2 linked regions of the Callithrix jacchus genome follow. Each later gene encodes a partner of the first gene's protein in a complex. Links are inferred from orthologs where the notes say so. Each region holds a gene or a part of one and is shown on either strand. Other genes may lie near its edges.

The links. Proteins that work in one complex are often made in the same cells at the same time.
Region 2: RUVBL1 (region 1) and MORF4L2 share a complex: the UniProt entries of both Homo sapiens proteins name them as parts of the nuA4 histone acetyltransferase complex. The link is inferred for Callithrix jacchus from reciprocal best matches to the Homo sapiens genes RUVBL1 and MORF4L2.

Annotation. Positions count from the first base shown.
Region 1 is NC_133516.1:74,046,310-74,049,994, forward strand, and holds part of RUVBL1 (ruvB-like 1), read left to right. Parts: intron 1-2,785; coding exon 2,786-2,937; intron 2,938-3,685. UniProt on the Homo sapiens protein: Possesses single-stranded DNA-stimulated ATPase and ATP-dependent DNA helicase (3' to 5') activity; hexamerization is thought to be critical for ATP hydrolysis and adjacent subunits in the ring-like structure contribute to the ATPase activity.
Region 2 is NC_133524.1:99,740,685-99,744,861, forward strand, and holds the start of MORF4L2 (mortality factor 4-like protein 2), read right to left. Parts: upstream 2,890-4,177; 5' UTR 2,834-2,889; intron 1,519-2,833; exon of another isoform or gene 1,450-1,518; intron 90-1,449; 5' UTR 1-89. UniProt on the Homo sapiens protein: Component of the NuA4 histone acetyltransferase complex which is involved in transcriptional activation of select genes principally by acetylation of nucleosomal histone H4 and H2A.

The DNA.
Region 1 (3,685 bases):
GGAATGTCTTTCTTCCCCTCCTTGAGGAATTTCATGCCACATTTGTCTAACAGTAAATATAAGTAAGCATTCCATTTGAAGGAATTTATCACTGTGGGATATAAAACGTTTGATTTAAAAAAATCAAAGTTCACTTTAAAGGTACAGGATTTTCCAAGTTTACCACAATCTTCTAATATGTTTATGTTGTTTGGAAAATTTTTATCTAAGATTAGTATTCAGGAACTAAGGATTCGGTAAAGCACAAATGAAATGGGTCTTCTCTTTTGGGGCCATTCCAAAACTTCCATTTATAAGCTATCAGATGAAATTAAGGTAGAGTAAAACTTTTCCTTAACTTTAATATGTGAGAGTCTTTGTCCTGACTGGGTTTCTGGGGTAAAGAAGGCAAATGGCCCAATGATAAGATAATGACTGCATTTAAAAGTGGGAAGTTACTGAGCGTACCTGATACCATAGGTAGTGTTTCTTAGTGCCATTGGAATATTTCCATATCAGAACAGAGGTAGCTTAATGGTGAGGACAACAAATCCTTATCGAGCCTCCCTGCCATCAGAACTAGCTTATGTCTCCACATTTGTGAGAATGTTTTTTCACTTATTCTTTAGATAACTGGATCTCAACTGTGTCTGTACTTTGGAATCATGGGGGGAATTTTAAACTAATGATGATGGCAGGGCCCCATCCCCTGAGATTTGGAAGCAAATAGTCTGGGTACAGCCACGGCTCTACCCAGTCCCATTATAGGGACTTCTCAGGTGGACCTAAAGATTGAGAACCATGACCACAAGCTCCAGCAGAGGTTTAGGGTAGTGTTTCCTAAACTTAGGCCATCAGTGGTCTTACTTCACTGAGTCTCACTGGTATTATTTACTTAAAAAATTTTTTTAAAGTAGACTTGGTAATTTTGTGCATATATACAGAAAAGTATGCAGAACATAAATACATAGGTACGTGGATTATCATAAAGTGAAAACCCATGAAACTAGCAGCTGATCAAAAAAGGGGATGTTGCCAGAACTCCAAAGTACCCCTCATGTTTACTCCCAGTTGCCATCCTTCCTTTCCTAAATTAATGGTAATCTTGATTTCTAACAGTATGCTTCAGTTATGCCTGGCTTTTAGTGCTGAGGTTGAGGGTGTTATGGTGATACGGGCTATAACATTACATGGCTGGCTCCTAGGGTTCTCAGGCCATTACCATATAGAACATGTAAATGTGTCTGCAGGTTTGTTTCTTGAGTATTATTAATTCATGGTCTGCCTAATGACACCCCTTCACCCTTAATGACTTCATTCATTCATCTATTCACTGTGCCTGCTGATGTGCTAGGCCCTTAGCTCAGGTATGGACAGTCTGCAGAGGGGTAGGCAAGGTCTGCAAGTTATGGCATTGCTATGTGCTGTGCTATGCCAGTGGAAACACAGGTCCATGGGGGCAATTTGAAGGATGAGGAAGAAATGAAAGATATGTCAAGAGGGAGTGGATGAGTTTTAAACTGAGACTATAAGGAGGAGTTGCCTAAGCTAAACAAAACAAAACAAAACAAAACAAAACAAAACAAAACAAAACAGTGCTTCAGGAAGCAGAGCCATTATATGCAAAAGCATATAATGAACATAAGATCATGTTCTAAAAATTAATTTAACAGGGATTCTTGGATAATAAGCAAATGTTTATTAAAGAGCTAATGTGGATGATGTTTAGAATTAGGAGAGACATTTACCTTTATTTGCAATATTCTAATATAAAGTGCTTTGGAAATTGGTTCTGTTATCACCTTTAAAAAATTATAGAGCAGCCAGGCATGGTAGCTCATGCCTATAATCCTAGCACTCTGGGAGGCTCAAGGTGGGCAGATCACCTGAGGTCAGGAATTCAAGCCCAGCCTGGCCAACGTGGTGAAACCTCATCTCTACTAAAAGTTCAAAAAAAAAAAAAAAAATTAGCCAGATGTGGTGGCACACACCTGTAATCCCAGCTACTTGGGAGACTGAGCTAGGAGAATCACTTGAACCTGGGAGGCAGAGGTTGTAGTGAGCCGAGTTCTCACCATTGCACTCCAGCCTGGGTGACAGACCAAGACTCAACAAGAAAGAGTGGGGGGAGGGAGAGAGATACTGAGATTTTAGAGCAGCAGAAAGAGAGAGAAAGAAAAAGGAAGGAAGGAAGGGAGAGAGGGAAGAAAGAAAAATTGTAGAGCAACACATTGCAAATAATGCATGACAACTGGGTATTTCTTCTTGGGGTATGCAGTGAGAGTCAGCCAGAGGCCCATAACACCTGGCAGGGTGGAGTGTTTCCCACTGTTGACATAGACACCTAATTATTTTAGTATGCCCTGCTCAGGCTTGTTATTATCAGAGGGTGTGTAGTGAGTTATTCCATTGGTTTTAAGATTTCCTTTGAGAGTCAGAAATGCAGGAAACAAGGCTACAGGAGTTTTGATAGCCACTGTTCTGGTGGAATAGAATAGTGTGGGTTCAGAGACTAAAGGCTAAAGCTAAATTTCACCCCCGTGGAAATGGAGTAGGCAATTTTGAGAATTATAACTTGTCTGTCTAGTTCTGGATTTGAACCTAGAAAGTTCCCTTAAAAAGTTGTATTTCTAATGGTTCCTCTAATTTACATTGATATGTTTGTATTGCCTCTTTACCCATCATGACACCTGGAATGTACATTATTAAGGTTGATTTGTCAGTTCTGGTGACCCAGAAGTTTTGGGCTCTCAGAATAAGAGAGAAGATTCTGTCCTCACCATGGCCCCTCTGCCACCTCTTCCAGGGCTGCGAATAAAGGAGACCAAGGAAGTTTATGAAGGTGAAGTCACAGAGCTAACTCCGTGCGAGACAGAGAATCCTATGGGGGGATATGGCAAAACAATTAGCCATGTAATCATAGGACTCAAAACAGCCAAAGGAACCAAACAGTTGAAAGTGAGTATATGTTTGTGGCCTCTTTTCTCTTGACACTCCCAGCACCGCGTGGCTTTGGGCAGGTGTTGTAACCTCTCTGCATCCCAGTCTCCTGACCTATGCACTGCAAGTATTGATTTCTCACAGAACTGTTTGAGGATATTGTGTGTATAAAGCAGTACCACATAGGAGGACTCAAGGAAGACAGCTCTTTTCTTAGTAACTCCTAGGAAACTGTTCATGTTAAAACATGAGCTGTGTGGTTAAGTCAAGAAACTGCCTCTGCCATCCCATGTTCCATATTATGACCATGTGTCAAAGACCCTGGGCTGGGTCTGAACCTGGGCATTAATTTTTCCAGTTATCAGTGCTCATGCTCATAGAAAGAAACAGCATTGAGTAATCAAATAGAGTTGTATAAAGATGATGGATGGACTTCCTAGGGGCCACATACAGAATCCTGACTGGAGTTGCTTATATCAGGAACCCTCTGTCATTTCAGTGGCTGGTTTTGCTCAGTACAGGGCTTTGAGGAGAGGCCAGAATGGTGACACTGGATAGCCATCAAAGGCACTCCTCAGCCACCTGTCCTGTAAGTCTTTAGGATGGAGGCAGTAGAGTTCCTAGGGGAAGAGCATGAGTTTTGGAGTCTAAGTCCTAAAGGAAAAACCTGGCTTTGCTACTTACAACTGCATAGCATTAATCTCTGAGTAGTAGTTTCTTTATCTGTTGAATGGGAATAATACTTGCCTGTCTTTCAGAGTTATGG
Region 2 (4,177 bases), on another chromosome or scaffold:
CAAGATTCTGTAATCAGGGAAGGTTCTGCAATCAGGATCAGATCTCCTGATCCTTACTATACAGCAAACTTAGCTTTTCGGATGGTGACCTAGAAGGTCAAACAAAAGGACAGGAAAGGACATAAAATAAAAAGATATGAGATATGGCTTTCTTCTTCATCAGCCAATGCAATTTCATCACACACAAAGGACACCAAAGCTGATAAATAATGTACAAGTGTTTCTTTTTCCTTTCTTGTGGCTACATTTTCAAATTTAATTTATTGTACATTTATATAATTTCTGACAAATTTAAAAAAAACTTTTCCTTAAAGATAATTTCAAATGGATAAAAGAAATAGTATTATAAACCTACATGAATCCATCATCCAGCTTTCAACAATTACCAACTGAAGGCCATCTTGTTTCATCTATAACCCCACCCACTGCTCCCCCGCACCCCCGACTTTTTCAAGCTCACCGGAATATCTGGCTTTTGTATTTTATTCCAGAAAAATTTAAACGTATACCAAGGAAAGCAGATAAATATAAGGAACTCACTGCGTATCAATCAGCTTAAATTATTATTAATTTAGGGCTAATTTTTTTTCATCTATACCCCTCCCCATTTCCCCCCACCGCTGAGATTATTTTGAAGCAAAACCTAGTCATTAATGTATTTAGAAGTCAACCTCAGACATTACATTATTTAATCCGTAAATATTTTTGCATATGTCTCTACAAAAAAAGGACAATTTGAAAACATAACCACAATACTACTGTGACGCCTAAAAAAACTGACATCAATTCCTTAAAAAACATCAAATATCGAATCCGTGTTCCAATTTTCCCGATGCGTCTTAAACGTATTTTTACAGTTGGTATGTTCGATTCAGGATCCAAACAAGGCCTACTCATCGCATGTGGTTCATCTCCAGCTCGCTCTCGTTCTCCATCTCTTTCTTTCTCGCACCCCCCACACCTTTTATTTAACTTTTCAATATGGAAAAATTACAATCTATGCTATTTTCAGGCAATTCTCAAATAGCAAATTATTTCATTGTTAAAAATCGATATATCTCTTTTATCTTTTATTCTACGAAAGAAGTTGATGGTAGAAAGGGCACTACAATTAGCGAATCTGCATAATTTATAATTTTTCTCATTCTATTACGCAGATTATTTATCTCCATAACAATACATAATATCTTCAGGAGCCAGGCTTCATATTACATGCTCTATACGCACTATTATACAGTAAACGTCGCTGAGGTAGATACTATTATTATCACCATTTTACAAACATGGAAACCGAGACACAGAAAGAACAGGAGCCTTGCCCAAGCTGGGCGTTGGCAAGCAGGAATTTGAATCCAGCTCTGACCGATTGTGAAGCCACTAGCTAATCCCGTCTCTACCCGACGAAAAGAGGAAATCATCGACCCTTTCTCCCCACCCCCACCCCGAAACCTGAAACGAGAATCCAGATCTTCCCAGCAGCCGACGTGTGATCACTGCCGTTCCTCCAACCGCCATAGTAAAGCCAGGTTTCTCTGGCAACTGATATCCATAGGCAGACACGTCACCCTGGAGGAGGGCGTATGCTCTTCAGCCAATCACAATCGTCTTGTCTAAGTTTTAGAATGTTCCATAACCAAATGATTGGATAACCACCCCCACGTCAGCAATGACACTTAGCCGCAGTAAAGGCGGGTGCTAGCAACCTGCTTCTTCACTGTTAAGGCCTACAGCAAACCAATCACCTTCCTCCGTTAGTGCGAGTTCCGGCCAATGACGTTCGCCCTCTTAGGTTTTTAGCCCGCCCTCCAAAAGCGTGACAGCCGTTGGGTCATAAGTCTATAGGGCAGAATGTTCACGTGGCCTATTTCACGACCCAGAGTTCCTCTGACCAGAAGGTTTTTTTTTTTTAATTTTTCTTTTCTTTTTTTTTTCTGCAGGGAGGCATTATGGGTTTGTGTTTCCCCCCTCCTTCACTGGGAGAGGAAGTGTCTACGTGGCCTGCGGAAATAGGATAGGCGGAAATGAGCTAAGGTTCCCGCGAGTGGGGAAGCGAGAGGTCATATCTGGGGCCACGCCCCCAGACCTGTGGCGCAACTCTCCGAACATGAAAAAAAAAGACGCAATGGGGGTTCTGCTGTGTTTGCGAGTGAGGGTCCCGAGTGCCGCGGGCGCAAGGCATTAAGGCCAGTGTGTCAGTGCGCGGGAAGGCTCGCGTGGGGCCCTGGGGTTGCTCTGGGAGCGCGCACCGGCCCTCGTGGCGCGGGAGGTAATGTGTGTGCGCAGGCGTGCGCCCCGGGCGTCGGGCTGGTGAGAGCCACAGCGCGCACCGGCACTCGGGCGCGCGGGCGCGCGTGTCTGCTGGTGTTGGGGGGCGGTGAGGGGAGGGGTTAGCTACGGCGCGCAGGTTGTTATCTATTTCTGTATTGTTTGAAAATGTTCTAATGAAAAGGAAAATAATTAAGGCAAGGCGACAATAACAGAGATAAAAGGGGCTTTGTCAGAAATATTTTGGCTTTCTCTACTGATTTAATTAAAGACTTAAAAAAATACACTCCCTACGTTTTCCTTTCTGCCAGAATCCCACTGTAAACCACAGCCCTCCAGTGGTTTAAGAGCCAAACCCTTCCATCGCCACATTAGCAACTGCAAAGAGAGGCTTCTTTCAAGTTCTCTAGTATCCTCCTTCCTCCCCTCCTCCAAACCTCCCCCCCTCCCTCCAAGGCTGCATGCAGTTTTCTTGGCACAAATACAATTTTCCTATGGGAATGTCTATACGACAGCATTCCCCTTCATTAGGGACTCCGAATTTTTGTGGGGATTGAGGCGCTCTTACCTTTGCGTCCTGATTTCCAAGCACGCACACTGCCCTTCTTCAGGCAAATGCGCACTGTTAATTTTCCAGAAAGTTCTGTGGGTTAGGGTTATACCTCTCGAGTCTCCCACTAGATGCCGCCAAATCCCAGCAAAGGATTGGCTGTTTGGTCCCTGGGATTATGGGGTTTTGTTCTCCCCACTCCCCTTCTGATTTGCTGAACACTACAATCTATGAGGATCATGGCTGTCGTTCATTCCTAGGGAAAAATAAAATCAACTTCTGTAAATAACACAAGTAGGCAGGGGACTATGATCCAAGGTCCAAATAATTTTGCTTCTTTCTTTCCTTTTCTCCTTGGAAAAAAAAAAAGGTCCCTCTCCAGCACTCTCTTCTTTTGTCCTTGCCTTGTTTAATCAGAGTTAATGAATGACCCAAGCACTGATGTTGAATATGCTAACCCTTTTTCCTCACCTTTTCAAATGCTCACAATTCACCCAAACTGAAAATACAGATAGCTGTTCAGTCAGTAAAGATAGGTAAGAACTCATCAGTAAAACTTGGACCCTGGTATTGAAAACTGATTTTCCTTTTCTCTTGAAATTTGTATCAGATATGTGTGTTTACACCCTATTTTCTGTAGTGTTTTTGGTAAACTTTATTGTGTCTTTGGAGTAAGAGACCTAATTGTAGACCACATTCCATCACCTCAGTACGCTGGGCAAATGATTTATGTTTTGTGACCCTCAGTTTTTTGTATGCTTTCTGTATTTTAGATGCTATGTTATATCCTTCACGTCGATTTTTAAAAAATTCATCACCAAGTCCTTATTAGATGAGCACTACTAGATCAAAGTCAAATAACAAAAATCATATCCCTTTCAGTTATCTATCATATATACTTGTATACACACACAGGGAGGATTTTTTTAGAGCAGTGGTTCCCAAGGTATGTTTTCTGGATGTACCAGAAACATCAGTATAACCTGAAAAGTTGTCAGAAATTCACATTATCAGGTCCGACCCCAAACATAATGAATCAGAAGTTCTCAGGGTGGGGTTTGATAATCTGTGTTATTAACAAACTATCCCAGTGATTCCAGCACACACTGAAGTTTGAGAACCACTGCTTTGGAGAGTAGAAATGCAATGCATATTTTTGTACACACCACTAGAGGGTGCTACAGAATGTAAAGCAAAATAATAAATGATATACAATATATGTTTTCAGACACCCTCCATATTATCAGTCGTATTTTACAGATTAAAAACTAATGTATAGAGATGTCAAATTATTTTCTTAGTGCACACAACAAGTATGGGAACCAGGATTTGAACTTTACCTGCCTCTAGCCCAAACCCCTA